3 linked regions of the Rattus norvegicus genome follow. The protein of the gene in region 1 purifies or fractionates together with the protein of each later gene. This does not show direct contact. Links are inferred from orthologs where the notes say so. Each region holds a gene or a part of one and is shown on either strand. Other genes may lie near its edges. The genes, in order: Retreg1, Gabarapl1 and Map1lc3a.

Evidence for each region.
Region 2: the proteins of Retreg1 (region 1) and Gabarapl1 purify together in Homo sapiens (affinity purification with western blotting; 3 studies listed by BioGRID and IntAct, with this or other methods). This does not show direct contact. The link is inferred for Rattus norvegicus from reciprocal best matches to the Homo sapiens genes RETREG1 and GABARAPL1.
Region 3: the proteins of Retreg1 (region 1) and Map1lc3a purify together in Homo sapiens (affinity purification with western blotting; 3 studies listed by BioGRID and IntAct, with this or other methods). This does not show direct contact. The link is inferred for Rattus norvegicus from reciprocal best matches to the Homo sapiens genes RETREG1 and MAP1LC3A.

What each region holds. Positions count from the first base shown.
Region 1 is NC_086020.1:78,192,984-78,201,037, reverse strand, and holds part of Retreg1 (reticulophagy regulator 1), read right to left. Parts: intron 5,382-8,054; coding exon 5,255-5,381; intron 3,326-5,254; coding exon 3,241-3,325; intron 1,554-3,240; coding exon 1,416-1,553; intron 190-1,415; coding exon 125-189; intron 1-124. UniProt on the Homo sapiens protein: Endoplasmic reticulum (ER)-anchored autophagy regulator which mediates ER delivery into lysosomes through sequestration into autophagosomes.
Region 2 is NC_086022.1:164,662,854-164,671,007, reverse strand, and holds the start of Gabarapl1 (gamma-aminobutyric acid receptor-associated protein-like 1), read right to left. Parts: upstream 4,677-8,154; 5' UTR 4,501-4,676; coding exon 4,411-4,500; intron 469-4,410; coding exon 390-468; intron 1-389. UniProt on the Homo sapiens protein: Ubiquitin-like modifier that increases cell-surface expression of kappa-type opioid receptor through facilitating anterograde intracellular trafficking of the receptor. Involved in formation of autophagosomal vacuoles.
Region 3 is NC_086021.1:164,239,407-164,247,263, reverse strand, and holds Map1lc3a (microtubule-associated proteins 1A/1B light chain 3A), read right to left. Parts: upstream 4,061-7,857; 5' UTR 3,886-4,060; coding exon 3,846-3,885; intron 3,537-3,845; coding exon 3,481-3,536; intron 3,398-3,480; coding exon 3,291-3,397; intron 3,005-3,290; coding exon 2,842-3,004; 3' UTR 2,414-2,841; downstream 1-2,413. Other genes in the region: Pigu (phosphatidylinositol glycan anchor biosynthesis class U protein precursor), read left to right, coding at 1,846-1,959. UniProt on the Homo sapiens protein: Ubiquitin-like modifier involved in formation of autophagosomal vacuoles (autophagosomes). While LC3s are involved in elongation of the phagophore membrane, the GABARAP/GATE-16 subfamily is essential for a later stage in autophagosome maturation.

The sequences.
Region 1 (8,054 bases):
TTATTCAGTCATGTCATAAAATAATAGAAGACAAACTTCGTTATAAATTAGTCAATTAGGACAATCGATCTATTTTATGTAAATAAATGGCCAAACCACACAGAAACAAATTGACCAACTATACCTTAGGACAAAGAGCCGAAAAGTCTATTTCACTGTCATCCTTGTGGCTTTTTTCTTTATCTGCTTCTGTTGAGGAACAAAAGGGGTGGAGGTGGCATTTAGTCTCCTCCAAAGGTTATACATAGTGCATTTACCTTGATATATTCTCCTCACATCCAGCTATGCATTCCAATGATTCCCTGTAATTTTTGCACTGAAGAAGCTACAGAGATTTACAAATGTTTGCTTTCCAGGGGAAATGGTCAACATCTGTGTTCTCACAGCATGACCCACCAGGAGCAGCAGCCCTGGGAACTCTGTGACAAGGTGGACTCTGGCGCTACCCTTGGCCTCTGGAGTCACAGTCTGTACTAGGCTGTACACTCCTGGTCATTCTCATGCATCCTATAGTCTGAGAAACTAAAGTTATATATATGTATTTTATATATAATTCCTTACACATGTTAGTTTCCTTAATTGTCCTAGAACTCCCCTTTTCTTTCCCCTGTTACTTCAGTCTCCTCTTACATGGCTCCCACAATAGTCGTTACCTCTGAAATTTTCAATAACCCAACCCAAATAAAATAAAGTGCATCATGCATAACAAGATATAGACGTGTTGATGCCCTTTCTCCAGCCCCTGACAATCTGTGTATTTTGTGACTCATTTACATTTCCATCCTTTGACCATCTCATGTATGTGTACGATGAACTTTTGTCCTTCATCTCCCTTTGTCCCCTATCCTCCTGCTGATGCCCTTCTTCCCATCACCTCTCCTACTCTTGTCTTCATTGTGTGCCCCTGAGTTTAAATGGGGTTGGCTGGATGAACATGGGTGGGGCAACTTTACTGAAGCTTGGGCAATGTGTCAGTGCCACTCTACTGGAGAAAGTGGCACCCCTCCCAGCAGCCCCTGTTCACTGTCAGTGTACTTCAGGGAGGAGTGGGAGCTCAAGAGCCCTGACCCCATCCAGGATGAGATGTTGACAGGCACAGTCTTGTGTTTCTTGTACCTCTATGGGTGTGAGTTCAATACTGCAACTGCTGTGCCATAGCCAGCAGATCTCTGACTCCAAATCTTTCTAATCCAAATGTCTATTGTCCCTTGCCAGGGTGGGGTGATTATATCCATGTCCCATTCAGAAACAGGCACAATGTAGACTTTAAAAGTCAACCTACTTAGCTGTACATTTGAGACAAGAAGATAGGCCTGACTAGAAAAGACCACACAGATTACACAGGTAGCTTTTACAGAACCAACTGAGTAAGTCCCATTTTGCACACACAGAGCTAATATTCAAACCAGACTTACCAGATCTCTCACGTTTCTTCTGGTTAATATATTCTCCAATTCCAAAATCTAGTTTTAATAGAATGGACTTGACTTTGCTGTATATTTTTTGTCCAATATCATTACATTTAAACAGTGGACACAAAAAAGCAAACAGTACTGGAAAACAAAGAAGAAAATAATACAGGTAAGACATTCATTCTGGATGCTTACATTTTAGTATTTTACAAGATAATGGTTCAATCATGGGGAAAGTAGCAGCTCTTAATTTTCATTCTTATTCTGTGGCAAAAACATACTTTAACATACACACACACACACACACACACACACACACACACACACACACTTATAACCACTGTCCTCTGCTAAAATCTTACTTTTGTTTACTACTGCCATTTACTGTGAGAACACACACCTCTTACTAGCTTGTCAGTGACCCTGGGATGGTGTTTGGTGGGGTTGCTGTAGCTAGGCATGTAGTTGAGCTCAGCAAAAACAAGATGGAGAATGCCTTGCTGCTATCTCTCCTTTGCCAGCACTTTAATCACTTATTTCCTACAAAATGGGGATCCAGTAACCACTGTAAGTTCTATTTGGAAGACCAGGTAGAGCTTCAACCATTTGCCAGATGTGCTGTGCCTTAGGGATCCAGAAGGGAAGACAGCCACACTGGCTGTACCTGCTTTCAGTGTTGATTCTTTGGTTGTTGCTGGGCAGTGTCCTCCCTTAGTCATCTTTACAGCCCAGTGGAGGACACGTGAAACTCAAAAGCCAGCGTAGGAAAGGGAATGTGGGGTTAGCAGAGATACTGCCCCGCTGAAAGCTAACAGCTAAATCTTCATGTATTTTAGGAAAAGCAGAATATATAATGTGAACATCTTTTTAGAGTTATAATTCACATATAACAAGCTACGTACCAAGTTACAATTTGATAAGTTGTGACATGTAATCAACCAAGAATACTTGGATCAAGACGATAAACAATTTACTACAAGCAAGTTGCCTCATGTCCTTATTAATCCTTCCTTTCTGCCTCTCCCTGACCCCACCCAACTCATCCCTGGCAACCACTGACCTACTTTTCTACTGTTCTAGGGTTGTACATAAATAGAACTATATAGTGCATGCTCTGGCTTTTTCCATTCAGCCTAATTACTTTGAAATTTATCCATAGTGTTGCATGTATCAATCATTAGTGCTGGGTAATAATCCACTATATGGATAAGAGCACAGTTTATCATGTCTCTGTAAAGCCCATATGAATTGTATCCCTTTGTGCTACTAACACCAAACCTGCTATGAACACTTGTGTATAACTATCTGCAGAGATGTTCCCATCTGTTTCTCTTGGATAAATATCTCACTGTGAGATGCCCAACTATACAGTAGACACAGCCGTCCGGTTTTCTGATTGCACCATTCTACCAACCTACCCCCAATAAGCAAGAATTTGGGCTGCTCTGTATCAGTGTTCTATCTGTATTTGATGTGATGTTCTTAATTTAGGCCTTTCTGGCAGCATACATTGGTATCTCGTTGTGATTTTACCTTTGGTCCCATAAAACATGCACAAAGGCAAAAGTGCAGGTATATTTGTACAGAGTGGGACCTAAATATTCAGTGTATAATTTAACATTCTTTTTATGACCCTGCATCTTGCATCTGTGTTTCTAGATCTTTACGTATAGCTATCTCTAGGGGACAGGAAAACAGTCATGCTTAGGAGACTTGTTTAATAGTTGAGAGCTTACCTTTACCCTTCCAAACTAAACAGAAGATCTGAGAAGCACTAAGGAAGCCGTACGTGCTACACAAAGTAGTCAAGCGTTTTTACTATACTTACACAGTAGGTAGCTGAGAATGACCCCAGGAATGTAACTTCCCAAGATTGTAAAAAATGTGCACACACTGCAGACCAGGAGGCAAAACTAGAAGTAACAGAAATAGCATGGGACAGTTATCCACAACAGCAAGACACAGTAGGGCACATGAGTGATGTGTGTGTTGTATTACGTATGCCATGTGTTTCTTCAACAGCACTTTTTATACTTAGGAACACCGAGGAGGCATTGAACACTTGAGGATAATCAGTTTGCAGGCAGAGGAGCTAATTCTGGAATGACGAATTCCTTACTCAGGCCTGTTGACGCACTACTGCCAAGTGCAAGAGACTCATATAGTAACACATCCCCAAGAACAACTTTACTCACCCTGAGAAGCAAATCTGCAACTTCAAACTACTACCATAAAACCCTGAAATCCATAGACAGATCCACGCATGTTATAGTAGCGCCTACATGAATCTGATGTAGTTTGTACTGCTGACAAACCTCTGCATAAATCTGTAAACATCATAATCCTCCCTAACTGTATCCACCCACATCTGGGTTAGCCCAAAACTAAGCCAAGTGAAATGAAACTTCTGCAGTGAATTCTGTTTTCCTCCTCCACTTGTTTTCTACACTCTGCTCATAAGGTGTCTAATTGTTTATGCATTACTTTTAAATGGAAGTAGTGAATTAAACTGTCAAGCAAATTTACTAAGGGGCTTTCAAAAATAGGGAGAGATACACTCTCTGTCCTAAACCTCATTAAGAGAAAGAACAAGGCCTCTAAACTTTAGGGTAACTGGTATTTCATTCCATGTGGTTAATAGAAAGAGTTCAGATGAATGTGTGGAACAAAACTAGAGCCTTGAAAGAATTTGGAATTCTAGAAATGAAGAAATGTCTCAGAAGTTGAAGGAAGAAACAAGCCAACACAGATGTAGTCATCCACACCCAGAAGTCAGCTGTGCAAGGGGATTTGTAACCTATATTTTGTAGCATCATAACCTTTAACTAATGGATATTAGTTTAAAGGTCTAAGGCACATTAACATAATACACAGCAGACGTTGCACATTGAGAATCTTCCAACACTATTTATGAGCATGTCATGTTGGTCAAACAAGCACTAAAGTCTGCCGTGCCTCACATGTGTATCAGTTAAAAACTGACTGTGGTTAAAGATATAGCACTGCCAGTTCAATATGGACAAGATGTTCCCAGGTGCTGTTCTGTTACGTAATACTGCTGACGTTATGAGGCTGCCTACACATGGCACACGGAGGGGATCCTGATGCTGGTATTTCTAGCTCTACTTTACAGCTGGTGGACAAAAACAGTGCTAGAACCATCAATGTCTGTTGACAGCACTGCCCCTCAACCAAGTAAAGCCCTGACCACAGTCTTCTAGTGTGCATTTCTCCATGCAGTCCCTCTCATTACTCGAGTCTCTTCCTGAGGGAGTTTTTATCTTAATCACAAAACAAGACAAACAAAGACCCACTCTTATTCCATTCACCTAGCCACAGCGAATGTGTCTGCCAAAGCTTGTTTGGTTTCCTCATCCTCTCTCTGTGTTGCTATTCCGGGATGGGGGTCTTGCTGTGTAGCCAAGCTCATTAGAATTCATGGTCCTTCCACCTACACAAGTGTTGGGATCACTGTGAGCACCACACTCAGTGAGTTTCCTCACAATGAACCAAACCAGTCTCGACTCCATTTTTAGATTATAAGTGAGACTCAGTTGCCTCTGAACCTCTAAAAGGACTGCATTTATCTCAACTGCCATTGATTTCAGAACCAGACCATAGTTCCTAATAACACCCATTTCCTTTCGGTTTTAAATATGGCATACCCAATCTCAATCCCTTCTAAGTACTGAACTAAAGAAATCTCTATAATAGATAAATAGAAAAAGAGTTTCAAATGTGACCACGTCCGAGCCTAGTATGTTCAAATTAGAGAGTCTTTACCAGCTAAAACTGGTCACCTCATTTGTTCCCAAAGTTACACTGAGTATTTAAAAACTTGCCTTGCCAGGGCTCTGCTGTTTGAAAAGAGACATTTCTTGAAGAAATATGCTGAAATTCATCCATGATTCTGCAATGCAGTGGCTCAGTCTGGGTCTTTCATCTGGCTTGGAATTGATAACTTCCCAGCTAAACAGAGGGAAAAAATGTAATTGAACATCAGCTACAATAACACCAACCACAGTGTCCAACCACCGAACAGTCAGAGCTTCAGCAAATACTCACTGAAGATTACTGTTGGCCGCCTTATGCTCTGAGTTACTCAGAGAGCTAACCAGCCAGATAACAAACTCAAAAAGCTTAGATACTGAGAGAAACAACTGGCTACACAATTAGTTATCTGATTCCAACACGGGGGTGGGGAGGTGGCAGGAGGAGGCTAGGGCTGGGGCTCTGGGACATGGTTCCTCAAGAACTCATTGCTTGGCTCCAAGGATCCGCATCTGCATTGGTCAGCTGCTGGCTGGACTTCCTCAGAAACCACCACACTAGATTCCTGTCAGCAAGCATAGCAACAGTGTTGGATTTGGTGTCTGCAGACATGATGGATCCCCAGGAGGGGCAGTCCCTGATTGGCCCTTCCTTCAGTCTCCATTCTTTCTTTTTTTGGACAGGAACATTTCTGGGTTAAAAAACTTTGAGATGGGTGGATGTCCCCATCCCTTGACCAGGGCCATGCCTATCTGCTGGAGGAGGTCTCTACAGGATCTATCTCCCCCTTCCCTGTGCATTTCAGCTAAAGTCATCCCTGTTGGGTCCTAGGAACCCTAAGTTTCCCTGGTGTCTGGGACCCTCCGGCTACAACCATCAGACAGAGTTCAGGGAACCTGGTTGGAGAGCGGGCGGAACGTCTAGAGGAGCAGAGGGGGATTGCAACCCCAATGAAAGAGCAACATAGGCTGGCCTGACCACCCAGTGCTCCCAGAGTCTAGACCACCAACCAAGGAGTGTACCTGGAGGGATCCCTGCCTCCAGATACATATATAGCAGTGGGTGGCCTTGCCTGACAGCAACGGGCGGGGAAGCCCTTGGTCCCAGGAAGACTTGATGCCCCAGCTTAGGGGAATGCTGGAGCAGTGGGGCAGGAGAGTGTGGGTGGGTAGGGGAGCACCCTCATACAGGCAAAGGGGAGGGAGAAGACATGTATTTTAGTAGTAAGTAATACCCTAACATTGGAATGAGCCTCCCACTGAAGGTCATGTTAAGGATTTTTTTAATAGACTTCAAGTGGACATTATCTGTTAATTTATTCACATTTTCAGTAAAATATGATTAATTTCCCCCTTCATGCCTTTCATAATAAATAATAATTAATTATTCCTAAAGCTTGAATACTTAAGCTATTGTTTTCCTATAAATGTCTACAAATTGTATCATTTGCTGGGAAGAAAATGCTCAATTTGTAACTGGTTTTCACTGATTGAGAAACCACTCAGTTTCTCCACCTTGAGAAAAATCTCATGTAATTTCTTTTAAAACAACACATCCCACTATTTCCAACGTCGATATTAGCAAAACAAATAATTCTCATTGACAATTGAATTGTTATAATGCCAAACAGAAACCCATTGTGTGCAGATCGAAATTCTATTCGGACAAATGATTTTGGAAAATGTAATAAATGTTGGAGACAAGAATAAATGTTCAGATTGTGCCAAATACAATTTGATGGAGATAGGACTTGAATATAAAATATGAATTCAGAGATGAAGAAAGGGTATCACTTCACATTTATGGACCGTGAACTCAAAAGAATTGATCACTGCAATATAATTGTTAAAAACGCTATGAGGAGGAGCTGGAGAGATAGCTTGGCTGTGAGGAGCACTCGTGGCTCTTTCAGGGGACTCAGGTTTGGTTGCCAGCACACACACACACACACACACACAAGCACAGCAGCTCATAACCATCTGTAATTTCAGTTCCAGGGATCAACTACTTCTTTTAACCTCCATGTGTATGCATGTATGCAGTCCTCAGATATTCATATAGGCAAAACACCCATACTTATAAAGATACAATTTAAAAAACAATTCAAACAGTGATTATTATAGTAATACTCATCTCTATAGTCTCCAAGTGAGTCAGCCAAACATACATCTCCAGCTTTTTATGGGTAACGTAGAATTATACAATTTGGAATGAGGCTGACATAATGTCAGTTTTTCACATCCCCTCATATTGATGGAGAACATTGACCGACCCAAGTTGTCTCATGTACTTAGGCACAGTGTCAAGACCTAAAAACAAGATTCCTGATTTCCAATATCGTTGTATTTAAACAATGTGACTCATCAAACAACAAGTTCATTGCTACCCTTTTAAAAACACATGTTATTATTGAGAATAAGGAACATTCCCTGTTTCCTCCTTTCTAGAATGAAGGCAATAAGAACTGTGATTGACCAACACCAGTGTGGGTTCACGCAAGACCAAGCCTTTCCAGGAAAGCAGAGCAAGTCATGTGCAGAATCCAAACACTCAGCGGAAACTAAGACCTATGCGTACGCTGGGGGTTAGTACGAGTGACGTCTGCACGCCTCTCATTGCTCCATCACAAAACTCTAGGATTTCCTAGAAAGCCTGGGAAACATATAACGTAGTGAAATGCACTTTAGCCCTTGAAGCAGTTCTAGATTTTACCAAGTTCTTAAACAAAGACCACATTTCATCTATGACGAATGTTCCTCTAAGGGAGAAAACTTAGTCACCACCAGTGTTATTGTCAACAGCTCTCCTTGCTTTCAGACAGGACATGCAAACTTCAGGTTGCAAACAAAGTGATGTTCTGGGTGTCACGAC
Region 2 (8,154 bases), on another chromosome or scaffold:
GGTAAGTCTAAATGCGTATAATTCAAAACAAAAGGTAGGCTAGCATTTGCCGTTTTCATCCCTCACACAGAAACACATTTAAAGATAAAGCATTTAAATATAAATCTCTGAAATGTGATCCTCCCAAATCGATCGACCTCAGGGTACCAGGTACTGCTGCTTTCCTGGGTCTCCATGACTAAGGCACTTGAGTATGGCATTGGGAAATACCAAACAGAACTGGAAACAGGAGGACAGAGTGTGTCTATCCGCACTGGCCAGGTCCCGGAAGAGAGCCATACATGGTCACAACCTACACAAGGTGACAACCTATGCATAGTCACCAACTTAGACTTAAGATCAAGAATGCTTTCCTGGAATGAAGGGTCAGAAGAGGGAAAGGCCATTACCAGTGAGGTCGGAGGGCACAAGGTACTTCCTCTTATCCAGATCGGGGACCCTGGCTTTAGGAGCCTTCTCCACGATGACCTAAAAGAACAGGAGGGTGGGGATGAAACCTAGAGACTCTAGTATTATCTTTTTCCTTCCACACCTGAAATTTACCCACACGGTTTGGATTCAATGTAATTTTTAGTTCCCACTTCAAATATTCCTTAAGCTTAAGTAATTACAAATTACCTATAAAGGACTGTAAAAGATATTTATCCTATAATGTTTTATTAAGAGAATTGAAAAGATGTTCTGTGTTTCTAAGATGTGTCTGATGGTCTATTAGTTTGATTCTTCCTCTAAAATACCATTATGGACCCAGGAGATGAAGCCGTCATAAACGCTTTCTCTATCAAAGTGTGAAGACTGAGTTCTGATCCCTAAAATCCGAGTGAGTGCCCAGTGGATATGCCTTCTGGGAAGGCAGAAACTGGGGATCCCTGGGCAAGCTGTCTGTCTGGACTAATTGAAGTGGTCAGCTCTGGGTTCATACTGAGTAAGGTGAAGAGTAAGCAAGAATAATAGTACAAGGTATCAACATGTGGCCTCCACACACATGCACACAATCATACACATGCTCACTCACACATGTGAACACACACAGAGGAGGCGATGCCTTTTGTTATAGACACAACATTATAGTTTAGAACGTCACTGCCTTCCAAAGGCTACTATGTTTAAAAAATGCTCCTGCCTTGGTGCTATGAACAAGTGGTGGAAACTTTAAGGGGTGGGGCTTCATGGGAATTTTAGGTCACTGAGCTAAACCTGAAGACTGATTCCCATCTTGTCTTCACGTGTGCTTCTACCATGATAGTCTGGAGTCACCACCAGCCCAAAGAATGGGGCCAACTAAGAGCATGGACAAAGGCTTCTGAAGCCAATAGCCTTCTTGCCCTATAGAAGTTGACTGCATCAGACACTGCGACAGTGATGACTAACACACACACACACACACACACACACACACACACACACACACTTAACATGCCTCAGATTTCAATCTTTGCAAAAAAGTGTCCATTGCTAAGTGAAAACTACTATGAATTTTTATAATGAGTGACACTTTCTGAGAATAATGCACTAAATTATTCCCCATTATTAACTGTGTGAGCATTTTAAGGGATTTTCAATGTCCGCATTAATTATTTTCATAATTTTTAAAGATCACGCATTTCGTAACAAAGAAAAAGACACACAAAAATCATAGATGGTGTTTATATATTTGCTCAGAAAACATCTTACAAGGATATTAAAATTAGATTCTTTGTTTTGAAAAACTCATTTTAGATATAAGAAATGGGAAATACTAAGAAGCAAAGAAGCAGAAACAGACACTGGACAAGTATCCCTAGAAGCTGTGTGACCGTCAGCATCTTTCTGACCTCTCTGAGCTTCATCAAGCCACACACACACACACACACACACACACACACACACACACACACACACACACACATCACCAAAAGCCACACAAATAAGTACAAGAAAATGCTTGGGCAGACAGGCATGAATCTAAAGCTTCAAATTAAATAGAAAGGGACTTGAAAAACAAATAAACCAAAAGGGAAGAAGGGAAGAATGCAGTTTACAAACAACAGAGCACAGGAAGCAGGTAGCCCTGGTATTCACCACAGGAACTCTGAGACCTGGTACCTCCTACCAAAAGGAGAGGGGAATTGTTTTCTGTAGCCGTGGCTCATACACCGTAAGACTGTTTACACATGTTTAAAAATAGTGTGTCCAGTAGTTCCTGCTGTTACAGGTTTCCAACACTATTATTTCAATATCCCATGATCCCTTCTCCTGAGGCCCACGCACAATCCTTCTGAGGCCAGGCTTAACTTGTGAGTCAGACTGCCTTAGAAACTTAGTGGCTTTTCTGTAAAAACCTGAACATAGTAAGATTCAGCACAGTGCCCAAGGCATGCAAAGTCCTGTTACAACCCAGAGGTGGAGAAGAAACCAGACAAAGGCTTCCAACTCCAGTGTTGCCCCGACCCCCACTCAAATCTCTGCCATTTAGCAGAGTTCTGTCTCAACCCAATGAGAGGTTGAGAACCTCTCATACTGGGAGGCACCATCTGGGGGTGAAATCCAGAGGTTCCATGAGATCTGAGTGAAGGTTTACAAATTATCAATGAAGTAAAACATTCAACATCAAGTCATGAGCAAGAGAATACAAAGAGACTGCAATATTCTGGGTGAGTGCTTTAACCAATTGACCGAGAGGGGCCTCTGCCTTGAAGAAGTATGGAGGTTTTCTCTGAATTTGAAAACAGTTACCGGTCACAGCTCGTATTTCTGATGTTCTGAATAATGGGTAGACACATTCACTTAAGTTTCCTGGCTGGCACTGACTACCATTTGAACTCCAGATGGCAGCAAGTGATAACCTACTTCTAGGGTTTGATCTTCTAAGATGTACACTAAATTGTGGTTCACCTCGCTCTAGTACAAACTGGACAAAACAAACAAACATCAAAACCCTGAAGGCCAAGGACTCTGACAGCCCTGAAGCATGACGGTCAGGGCTGGAATTCTCCTCTTCCAGCCAGCAATGTCAAACCTTTGGGTGGTGACTTCACTGCCCTATGCTTCAGAACACGTCTGTAGCACAAGGATTTTAAGGCTGTGACTAGAGTCGGTGAGTATGCAGACAAGGCATTCAAGTGCTGCCAGCTATGCGGTCCACGTGTAAATTTAAAATACTAAGTGGGGTTGACAGATTGAGAGAAATTTTGAAATCAATCCTCCACGGGGAAGTCCATGCAAAGGACTATGTAGTAAAAAGGCATAACTGGAGTATTCCCAGCCATTTCTGGCAGACCCGTGTATATGTAATTTCTGGAGAATGGTGAAATAGTTAACTCTCTTCTTCCTTATAGAAAATGGGGCTGAAGGTAGAAAATGGGGCTGAGGACTTTCTCTTGTTGAGCCTCCATTTCTTCTAGTAGTCCAGGCTGAGATAAAGAACAAGGAAGAAGCCCCTCCCCCTATTACTTATGTATCAAAAAAAAATTTAGCAGTTTAACACAGCTCTTTTACCTTTCAAAGTTAGAGGAACGCTAATCTAATAAACATCATTGCCTGTACAGATAAAGAGAATGATTTTTAAAAGTCCCTGCTCATCTATCCACCATATTTAACAGCCATGTCATCCTTTGCTCCCAATTCTGCTGCGCAGCCTTCCAAAGAGGAGGAAAAAAAAAAAATACCAAGTGGGCGGGGGAGGGGGTAAAGTGAAAAACACCCGGATGCTGAAGACTCCCTTAGTATTTTCCTTCGCAGTGCATGAACTAGGTTTTAGCCGCTTAAATCGGGGTATAATTCATAGAGGAAACGTTTCTCAGTCCTGGCTCTTGAGATCCACGGGCCCACCCATCACAGTACAGAGCACGGACCTTTCTTTATCCGCACATGGCCCAGGAGACAATAAGGAGGAGGCAGGTTGGCTGTGACGCAGAGCATGACCTTGTTTGAGGGGGGCCCCGCCTGGTGGTGCCACCCCCCATTCTAAGAAAACGCAGGGCAGAATCTAGGGGCTTCTCACGTCTTTTTCCTCCTACGCTTAAGGAAATGAGGACGAAACTCGGATTCATGAAGAACCATTGGACAGACATGGATGGGCACAAGGCTCACCTGCTGCTCTAGGGTTGGGCTGCATTTTCTATAAACATATCCTAACTGGGACCCCAACCAGTCGCCCCCGCACACACAGGCCCCGCCACGCGCACATCCCAACCTCCACGGGTGCTGAATCCTGCTGACTCACCCACCACGCGCACGCTGCGCTTTCAGGATGCCAAAAGTGGGCACAGGCCCTGGGGATACAAGCTTGTCAAAACTGGTCAAGAATACGTGATTCAGATGACCCTCCGGCCCCAGGGCCACCCGCCATCGCCAGGCTACCGGGCAGCTCCAGGGAAACCAGCTCCCAAACTCCCCAAGCTTGCCCTCTCCCTCCCAGCCCCCACTCACCGGCACCCTGTCCGGGTATTTCTTCCTTATTTTTTCACCTTCCTTTTTCCGATATTCGAAGGGGTGGTCCTCTTTATACTGGAACTTCATGATGGATCGCAGGATGTAGGGGCTCCCCGGACGGGGCCTGCTGCGCGCGCTGTTGACCGCGTCTCCCGTCTGGCCACCCCCAGTCAATGTCAGCCTTATCACAATCGCTCCACCCGCGTCAGCTCCCACGCTCTGGTCGCCGCACTACGTGACCAAACGTCCAGAGAGGGACCTGGAGATCTCCGGGCCTGAAGGTAAAGGACCACCAGGTAAAGAAATGGGGTGGCTTTTCCCAAGAGCAGGGAACACAAAAACACCAGGGCGGTGCTGTGACATCACGACGCCCCACCCCCGCCCCGCCCCCCGGCGCGAAGGACCTGCGGATCGGGGTGGACAGAGGCATTGTTTATATGTATGTGTGTTCTTTTCGCCTAAGCTTTTCCTAAACTACTCCGCCGAAACGTAGAAATCGTTTAGCCTGGTTTTTATTTTTGAGAATAGACATTAAAGGTAATGTGTTAATCCAAAGAAGGTTCTAACAAATGTCTTCTTCCCTCCCCTTCAAGTCTCTTGCTTGATGCCCAAAACAAACACAGAGGAAGAAAATCCAGCTGTTTCCAGAGCGATGGAATCAGGAGTCGGGTGTTGGAAAAGCGCCAGTTGTCACGAGATTTGTAACCCAGGCTGAAATGTCCTGTGCTTGCATTTTGACCTTTGTCTAGCACCCACGGCTGGCCTGCCTTCTCTGCCTCAGCTCCTCCTGACTGGCGTCCTTGCGTTTGGATCTGTGCTGGGATTGGTTCTGAGACAACATAAACACAGCGTGACTCATGGATTTGAAGAAGTGTAAGGGTGAAGAACGTGAAGTCATCAAGGTTAGGAGAAGCAATGCCAGCGATGAACATTGGACTTCTAATCACGTTCAAGGAGAGATGATTCCATTCATTTTATAAGGTTCGTCCAAAAGTGTGGTTGCTGGATTCTTGAAAATACAGACGTCAAACAATTTAGGTGTCTGTTTCCCCAACAATACTTTCCTTGAGGGTGGGTATCATCTGCAGGGTAGTTGTCCTGATGTAAAGGCCTTATGGGCACCAAAAACTCTGACTGGCGTGCCGTTAGAAGACCCTCAGTGGTACAGAGAGTCAGACCAGGCCCCTCTGGCATACCAGGTTTCCATCTCAGACTTTTTGGATGCCGGGTCAGCCTTCTGATCCTACTGGCAGTAACTCCAGACCTTTATCTTGGGAGCATCAGAGACAGAGGTCAAGAATAGCTTGTGCTGTGGAAATAGAATGACTACTGAATGGCACCGGGCAAGCAACCCTGTTGCCTGAATATATATATTTATATATTCAAAATTTATATATGAATATATATGTATATATCAAGATTTATATATAAATATGTATATATATATCTATAGGTATAGATATATATAATCTTAGTGACTTATCCTTAAAAACCCTGCAAAATAAAATGAGCTGAATTTAACTGGCAAAACAAGAAACTGAAATCCATAGGCCACTTCTTGGTTTCCTCCTAGCAATCTTTCCTACATATAAAGACATATGAGTTGATATATAATATTGTCATGATTATCTTAATTATTTTCAGGTTTTATTCTCAAAATGAAAATAGTTTCATGCCCAGCTACTCATTTTTTACCTTTGACTCATATACAATTAAGTCTTTCAGAAGAGAATTTTACAACCAGTTGAGACAGATCTGGGGATTAAAATGGTAATAGTGTTGTTTTTCTGAGTAACCTTCAATTTTTTGTAGGTGTACAGTCTCAGCTAATTGAAAGGCAGTTCTTCAGTCCACTGATAACGTATACAGTACGTGAAAAACAAAAGATAAAATGTTGGGTAATCAGCTCGGAGGAATTTTAAAGCATTAGTAGTTTACATTAGAATGCAAAATATGTTGGGAGCTAGAGAGATGGTTCAGTGGTTAAGACCACTGGCTGCCCCTCCTGAGGACCAGGGTTTGATTTCCATCACCCACATGACAGCTCAGAAACTCCAGTTCCCAGGGATCTAATACCCTCTTCGGACCTCTACTGCATACTGCATGCGCATGGTACACAGAAATAACATGAGGCAGAACAGCCACACACACACACACCAAAAAAATAGAAACAAATCGTATAAAAATTCAAAACGTATCTATTTTCACAACTCTACTATTGATTCTCAGAAGGCTCTCTAAAATGTTGTACAGAGGTACATTTATAAACTGACATTCAATCAGATAAAAATATCTTAAAGTTGCTTTCTTCAACCAGACAAAAGGCAGTATGAAAAGAGCACGTTTTCTCATATAGCCACTCCAAATGTTTCTTGTACTCTTCTGGTTTTCAGGTTTGGAACTTTTGGGGTTTTTAAGCATATTCAGTCATGGAGAGCATCTCAAAACAGTGCAAGCAGAGGCAGTCTGCCCACCGCTTCAGATGTTTTCTTCCTATTGGGAAGCAAACTGCACTTCACCTCTGAAGTCAAGTCACCCACTGTATCTTAAAATCATCAGCACCTCCCCGATTAGGTAGTTCTTCCAAGAGTTTATACCCAGAGTTACATACCTCTCAAACGCATCTCCTCATTTCCCCAGTCATTAGAAATTGAAACTGAGGGCTGGAGAGATGGCTAAGTGGTTAAGAGCACTGAGTGTTCTCCCACAGGTCCTGAGTTCAAATCCCAGCAACCGCATGGTGGCTCACAACCATCTGTAATGAGATCCGATGCACTCTTCTGGTCTGTCTAAAGACAGCTACAGTGTACTTAAATATAATAAATAAATATAATAAATAAATAAATAAATCTAAAAAAAGACTGTGAAGAACCCGTAGATGTTTTAAAAAAAAATTGAAACTGAATACAAAGTTAAGTTTTATTTTTTCTATTTCTATTTTCTATTATTATGTGTATGTCAATGAATAAAAGCCAGAATTAGAGTATTGGTCTAGCTGTAACTAGACATAAATTACTACCAAACATCAGAAAACTTACTTCTTCAGCTTGAACTTTTAAAAAAAGAAAGGGGTTTTGTCCTGTTTTGTATTGCTTGGTTAACTTTTAAGTGAACGTTACCTACAAAACAAATACCAAAGATCATCTGACTAAGACTGGTTGATTCCTGTGCCAGGAACCTTTCTTGACCCTAAAGTGTCCTCCCTGGACGCAGTGAGTTGAGCTCTCTGCAGCTCACACGTTCTGCACCAGGAGGTGACAGCTTCAGCCTCACTGTTTTGCACACAGTTCTCCTCATATTCAAGACAGTAACTCAGTGGAGGGGAGACATAAAAGGCTCACACATGTGCCTTAAAGCCACCATTTTTATCCACACCCACTCCTAATGGTGTTCAGTCTTGTTTTCATCACTTGTGGGTGGGGCAAAGAGGGATACGAGTGCCAAAATAAACATATTAGCAGGAGTTTTCACAGGGTCACAATGTCAAATCCCTTCACTTGTGCCTGTTGTAGTCTTTAGAAGAAAGTCCAGTTCCTTAGAAAAGAAGTTGGATTATTAAACGGTGACCATGGTGTTCTTCTCTGCTCCTCCATAGATGTGTCTCAGATTTTGCACAAAGGTCACTATCACAGTTGGGATGCAGTATTCTCACAGATTCCTGAGCCCTTCCTTCACAGCTGATACTGCTGTCTTCGGGTGCTGTAGAACATCCTGGAAGTTAGGAGGTGGTGCCCAAGGACA
Region 3 (7,857 bases), on another chromosome or scaffold:
ACTTTGGCAGGCGTGTGGAGCACTAGGCAGGTCCCCTCACTCAGTAAGTTTAGTCTGGTATTTGTCCTAAGATTGACACTTGTGCTTTTTGTTTTTCAAGAATCCCCGGGGTTCTAGAGAAATGGCTTAGCAGTCCAGAATACTTGTGCTATTCCAAGTGTTACCCATCCCTGTAACTACCACTTCAGACATTTCCCAGGGTCCCCTGCTTTCAAACCCTCTCCTGTGCCAGGCAGCCAGAGGGAGCTTTTCAAACCACAAATCTGATCATGTTACTACTTGGCCTGAGTTCTCCCAAAAGCTTCTCGTGCTTCACCCTTATGAGCTCCATGACCCTGCACCTGGTTCTGCCATCCATTTCGTCATTTCCCTGGACTGCCTCTCTCACCACAGGATGAAACATTTTCATCCAGCCAATACCTGTCTCTCCAACTGTAGTAGGCTCACCTTCCCCAGATTAGGTCCTGACCCCTTGACCTCTCTGCTGACACAAATTCATTGTAATTGCAGCTTCACATTCAACTGCATGGCGCTTTGTGGGAAGGTCGTTTCTGCTCAGGATGGATCCTGAGTGCTTCTGTGGCATTTCCCTGCCCCAACTCAGTCTGACTAGAAAATCAAAAGGAGCCAACAATCTTAGTTCGCTGTCCCCCTAAGTAGAGGCCCAGAGAGGGATAGGATTTGTCTCATTTGCACACATGACCCCAAAGTCTACCCCAACATGCCTAAGACTTGTGTAACTGGAGCTGGCAGGGAAGTGTCCTGCCTCAGCAAAGGAGGGCAGGCACAGTACTGGAGATACCATAGTTCTCAAAAGTTTAGAGGCCCCAAGAGTATTAGCACTAACCACCTCTTAGTTCACACAGGTAAACGAAGGCCAGAACATGGCAGGTACTTAGCGAGAGGGAGACAGATCAGACAGAGGTTGACCTAAACCAAGGAGCTAGGTCTTCCGAGCCCTGTTGTGGGCAGCTATATACTTTTCTGATAGAAGAGCAGCTAAGAAGACCTCTGGACACACTCCTGCCATTCTCATTGGAGGGCTAATGGTCTACTTTACAAACGGGGAAATTGAGGCTGGAGGCAAAGCCATACCTGGAGACTTGGACCCTTAAATGTGTGATGAGGCAAAAGTCCATCCACAAAAGGACAGATCATATCAGCAAGCAACCAGGCAGCTGCTGGTCAGCATGGTTGAGGCAGTAGACATTGACCTTCAGCCCTGAGGTTCTCACCCAGACCCTGTGTCAGGGCAGGTGAAGAAGCATACAAACTCATCACCTCGGTGAGCTGGCTAGGTCAAAGGGAAGGAAATCATACCAGTCACATCTGGAAACAGCTTGATAGTGGTGGTGCATGCCTCCAATCCCAGCGCTCAGGAGACAAAGGCAGTCAGATCTGAGACTGAGATCTGCCTGCTCCTGCCTTCCAAGTGCTGGGATTAAAGGTATGTACTACCACCACCGACTGTCAAATCGTGTTTTCAAGGTAGAATTCCTGGGCTGCATGGTATAGGGAAATAGTAGGCAGTTCTGTGTCCTAAGTTCCTGGAAGGGTTTGACTAGGCTGGGTGGGGAGTACCTGTCAGCAAAGCCCCACTGTGAGAACATGGGACGGTGGTGTGAACCAGGAGAAGGGGGCGGAAGGTAGAATACATACAGCTGCCCATGACTGGTAAGGTATTTCAGGGCTGGGAATGGTCAAGTACGCGCCAAGAGGGACGGAGGGCAGGCTTCTAGATTGGGGAGATGCCAGGCAGGCACTAACCTGCCTGTCTATCTAACCCGGCAAAGGGTAGTATTCAGTAAGGTGCCCGTGGCTTTTCACTCTCTCTTTCCTTGCCAGATCCTGCTCATCTCTGACTACTTCTACGCCTTCCTGCGACGGGAGTATTACCTCACGCATGGTCTCTACTTGACTGCCAAGGACGGCACTGAGGCCATGCTTGTGCTCAAGTAGCCCTGCTGGCACAGAGCTGCATGGACAAGAGGGGGAAGGGCCAGAGCTGGGCCAGGTCCCTCATCCGGAGTTGCCAGCAGGCGAGTCCTCAGGCAGAAGACGTTCAAGTCCAGGGCTCCAAACCTCTGGCACCAAAGGGGACTCGTAGCTGGCAACAAGGCCCATGGGGAGAAGCTAGGAGCACCCCACTTGGACCCCCACTTTGTGACTGTGCATAGAAAGGAAGGGGAGCAGCCAGTGAGCAGGGCTTTATAGGTTGTGACTACTTAATAAATGTGTGGGTCTTCTTTTTCATTGTTGTCCTGATCATATTCCTGGAGGGGAGTGAGCTTGGCCCCCAGTACTACATGGTCTATACTAAGAGTCCACAGAACACAAGTCTGTGTGTCCCTGACTATGTGGACAGTCACCTAGCAGCCCTCCCTACTCCCAAACAAGCAGCCGGAGGCAAAGGGCCAGGCAGGCCTGAGCAATCTTTATTCTGCAGAGGAAATGACCACAGATCCACATACCATGTCAGGACAAGGGGAGCCAGCCTTTCAGGGGTGGGGCAGGTCCTGTCAGGGGGCAAAGCCTCAGGTGGATGAGGGGCAAGATGGGTAGACAGGCAAGGGCCTAAAAAAAAGACAAACCCCACGGGGCAGGGATGCTGCTCCCCACCCACTCCCAACCCAGCCAGCACCCAAAAGAGCAAGCCTAACAAGACTGGCCCAGGACCTACCCAGGACTTGGTATGCTGGCTGGTGGCCCCTACCTGGGGGGAGGGGGTGTCACATCTCTGCCTAATCCACCCGGGGCCGAAATAGCTTAGTTTAGGAGGCAGGACCTCCCTGGGGAGAACCTGACCAGAACTCCCAGCCACCCCCCACCCCTCCTCTTGACTCAGAAGCCGAAGGTTTCTTGGGAGGCATAGACCATGTAGAGGAATCCGTCTTCATCCTTCTCCTGTTCATAGATGTCAGCGATGGGTGTGGATACACTCACCATGCTGTGCTGGTTCACCAGCAGGAAGAAGGCCTGCGTGGGGTTGAGTTGCAGGCGGCGCCTGTGGAGGCAGGAGGGCATGGTAGGTGAGAGGCCGCCTGCTGGAGGCCTGGGCGACCCTCCCAGAATTATTTTGAATCTTCACTTTCCATCCATCACAGCCAGAGCCAGAGGCTCTCACCTCTTTACTGAAGCTCACCCCAACCCGTCCTTGACCTTCTCCAGCCTCCTAGAACAGGGTCCTGCCTGGTGTCCCAAATGATGCCCCCTTGCCCCACTCCATCCCTTCTAGTAGAACCTGGCCCGGCCCCGCCCCACCCAAGGCCTGTAGGAGGCTGCCCACGCACCGGATGATCTTGACCAACTCGCTCATGTTAACATGGTCTGGGACCAGAAACTTGGTCTTATCCAGGACAGGCAGCTGCTTCTCACCCTTGTAGCGCTCGATGATCACCTAGGAGTGGAGTGGGCGGGGGACTCGTAAGCCAGGGGCGGGACCTGGTGGGACAGGGCGTGGCCGGGGGGCTAGAGACTCACCGGGATCTTGCTGGGGTGCTGGTCACGGATCTGCTGCACCTCCTTACAGCGGTCGGCTGCGGACAGAGCTCTGTGTGAGGCCCAGCGGTGCTGAGGCCTCCCGCGACTCCGCCTCGCCGATCCCCGAGGGGCGGCTCCCGGCCCGCCCCGCCCCAGCGCCCGCCCCCGGGGCCGTCGGCCCCGCAGCCCTCCACCCGGGGACGCGGTAGGGAGGCCGGCGACCCTGCCAGGCCTTGCGGCCTCTCCACCCGGGGTCCGGCCACCCGGTCCCTGACGTCATGGGGCTGACGTCACCTGCGGCAATCGGGGTCGACTGGCATCCCCATCCCTCGGTCCCGGATGGCAGTTCACCCCCAGGGCCTCACCGAAGCTGCGCCGCTGCTTGAAAGGCCGGTCGGAGGGCATCGCGCGGGCCCGGCGGGGCGCGCAGCCGGGGGCTCCGGGGCGCGCGGCTCAGGGATGCGGCTGCGGTTCGGCGCGCCGGGGGCTCCGGGGCTCGAGCTCAAGGGCTGCGGGGCTCGCGCTGAGCCCGGCGGTGGCGGCTGCGGGAGGTAACTCGCCTGGGTGACGTCAGGTCACAACATTCCTTAAAGGGGAGGCCGGCGCGCCGCTCCCATTGGGCCGACGGAAAACCCGCCTGCCTGAACCTGTGACGCCACGGCGCAGACAGCCCGGATTCCCGGCGCAGGTCGTAAGGGGGCGGAGCTACAGGGCGCGTCACAGTTTTGTGACGTCACGATCGGCAAGCTTGTCTTTGGCTCCTCAGGACTGTGAAGCCAGGCGGTTGTCGCCTTCTTCTAGTCTCTACGCTGCCGAGTAATTCACAGCGCCTTCACCAAGCTTAGCATTAGAGAACGAAGGTGGTAACGAGGTGGGGCGGGGAGGGAATGGAACACCCAGGATCCATAAACTTTTTAAAGTTTTATGTGTTTCTAAGTGTATGCCCGCGGAGGCAGAACACAGCATCGGATTGCCTTAGGCTGGAATTACTAGCGGTGCTGGGAATCAAGCTAAGGTCCTCTGTAATATAGCAAAACTTGGCGAGCAATAATTGCCGAGCCATCTCTCCGTACCCCCACCCAGGCTTTCAAAGAATTCTGAAACAGCTATGGAAAGCATAGACTTCCAGAGTGAGGTTAATAAGCGGTTTAGACAAAGCAGGAGAGAGTCACTGAATGGGAGGCTATATCAGAAGCGTTTTAGTATGAGATGGAGAACATTCGGAATTGACAACACACTAAGTCCGAATTTACAGGTAGAGCCCCTGGGTAGAATAGAAAACTATGGTCTGGGAATGTTACTCAGGGTCAGGGTAGATTGATTCAAGGCCAGGATTAATGCCAGATGTAGCTGGCTTTTACTTGTAATCCTAGCTCTATACTACGAGTTTGAGGCAGGAGGATGGGCTAGAATTGAAGGAAGGAAGGAAAAAGATAAAACAAATGAATTTACAAAGGGCCATTGCTTGAAAAAAGTTAGTTTGTACTTCAGAAACAACATACAACTCACAGGGAAGAAATTTGATGGAAACTGGTAACCAAATTAACAGATGCATGTGTAAATGTTTCCCAACCACTACTGATAAGAACAGATACTACACTTGATCTTAGCCAAAAGGCCGAGAAGCGATCCCAACCACTACTTAATGTGGACATAAATAGTAGTGATTGTGGGGTACAAAGACGAGTTGCTCAGGTCACAAGAATTCAGCTAAGGGCTGGAGAGGTGGCTCAGCGGTTAAGAGCACTGACTGCTCTTCCAGAGGTCCTGAGTTCAAATCCCAGCAACCACATGGTGGCTCACAACCATCTGTAATGGGATCTGATGCCCTCCTCTGGTGTGTCTGCAGACAGCTACAGTGTACTCATATATAATAAATAAATAAATCTTTTAAAAAAAAAGAATTCAGCTAAAATTGCCTTAAAGAGGCTGGGTGGTGGCGCACTCCTTAATCCCAGCACTCCTTAGGCAGAGACAGGATGATCTCTGGAGTTCCAAGGCCAGCCAGGTCTAGATAGTGAGACCTTGGGTGTTGGGTTTTGGGTTTTGGTTTTGCCTTTTAAATGCCCTAGGGAGCTGGTTCTGATTGGGAAGATCCTGATTATTGTCTGCTTGGTCTGGTGTGGAGCTTGCCTGCCAGCATGGGGACATTAGTTCAATCTTGGGGTATGTTAGATCCTAGAGGCTGCCCCTACAAAGGCATTCATCCAGGCCTTGTACCCCATCTAGTAATTCTCCAAGCAGCTAAACTCCTAGTAGGTGACAGCCCCAAATTAGGGTGGGACAGTAGGATTGGTTTCCTAAATTATGACCTTAAATCCTATTTAGTGCCTCCACTAATCTTAGACCCCTTCCCCTCGGAGAAAGTCTGTTAGTGCAAAGGTTCTGAGGGTTCCTGCTAGACCTCTGCGGTGTTCAACTTCCCTTGTGGCAAGTGACAGGGTTCCTAAATCTGTCTCCAGACATCTCTCTACTGAACCCAGAAAGAATTTTTAATATTTTAAATATTAAAATATGTTCTGTCCGTGATGGCAAGACAAATGCCAACTTCCGCACACATACAGCAAGTAGATAAATGGAAAATAAAAAGTCAGACACAACAGGAGGTGGTATTAAGAGAATAGAAATATAAAATATAGTTTTAAATACTGAACCCTGGGAGCCAGAAGCAGATGATACAGGAACGTAGACAGGATGTAAAGAGCATGGACGCAGAGCTGGAGGAATCTTATGCTAACCTGAAACAACACCAAGGGCTGGCGGTGCAGGTCAGTGGTTAGAGTGCATGGCCCCTGGGCAGGACAACCTAGGTTTGATTCCAGCGTCACTTAGATTGGATATGGTGGCATGTGCCTGTCATCCCCAATTTTAGGATTGGCCAAGAAAAGAAGGAAGGCCATAGTGTTTACAAGAGGACTGCAGAGGAGCAATGTGCCATGTATGTGTGAAATATCATTGTGTGGTAAGTAAAAAGTTCATAATAAAAACTTAAAGTTGGAGCCAGTGAGATGACTCTGGGTGAAGGTGCTTCCTGCCAAATCCAGTCATGTGAGTTCAGTCCCCCAAACCCTTGTGGTGAACGGAGCCAGTTTCTGCAAATTGACCTCTGACCAAACAAGGGGTTGGGGATTTAGCTCAGGGCCCTGGGTTCAGTCCTCAGCGCAAAACAAAACAAAACAAATGCCAGGTATGTACAGAGAAAACCAAAGGAAGAAATGATAGAAAATTCACACACTGTAAGGCAAAGGTCACTCAGTATTAAAGGACTGAAAGAGTCCCTTCTAAACGATGGAGTTATTCTCTAGGAGGAGATAATTTTGAGCTCCATTCTGAGTTTATGAAAGACTGAACCGGCTGTTGTGGTGACTGGAGTTCTAGCATTTGGGAGGTGGAGGCAAGAGGAGGGTCCCAGTTCAAGGTCAGTCTGGTTGATGTGAGACCTTATCTCAGAAGAAAAATGCCTTTGCTGGGCTGGGCCTGGTGAGACGCCTGTAATCCCGGAATTTTGGAGGCTAAAATCAGAGGATCAGGTGACTTCAAGGCTAAACCGGGCTACAAACCAAATACATAGGATTCACTTATGAGACTCTTGCAGCCAGCAGGGAGCAGACATCAGCAAACTTCATGAAAGTGACAAGGACTAAAGGCGTAGTCACCGGTGTGGCCTGGGCGCTGCTACCCGGTTGTGCAGCACTGTGAGGGCAGCGTCAGCCTGAATGGCGCAACACACCACAGCGTTGCTTGATTGTTGACGTACTTGACCTGAGGGCCCCAGTTTACCTTGGTACAGAGCCGTGTCTCCGAGTGTGCAAACCTCAGTGTCACAGAGATTGAGTGTTCCCGTGTCAGTAAGGGAGCTGGAAGAACTGGGTCGGCGGTGGCCTTGGGGGAAGCGGTCACACGCCACACTCATCTACCTGACATCAGTGCGCTGCCTCCCTTTAAACCCTTGGTCCCTGGGCCACCCAGTCTACCCAGAATTCAATAGCTCGGCCTCCTCAAGTTTTCCAAGTGAAACGTCTTATGGATGCCTTAAATTTGACTTGCCCAGAACAAACTCAGTATATCCCAAAATGTACTCCAAACCTCGGTCAGTCTGCCCCTGTGGCACAGCCTCAGACCTGCTGCTCAGACTCTGGAGATGTTTCTGTAATGTGACAGAGGTGACTTCATCTCCACCTCCTGAGCTAGAGACACCACCTCTCAGAGAGGCCCACCTCTGCCTCCCAGCTTTCAAGGCGTGTGTTACCGTGCCAGCCTGTGCTCTGCTTCTTAAACTCAAGAAGTTTTGTGGTTCGTCTGCCCGTTGAGCTGCCACAGCAGGCTCAGATACTGTCTATATTTTTAATTTATTCATGTGCTGACGGCTCGTGACTT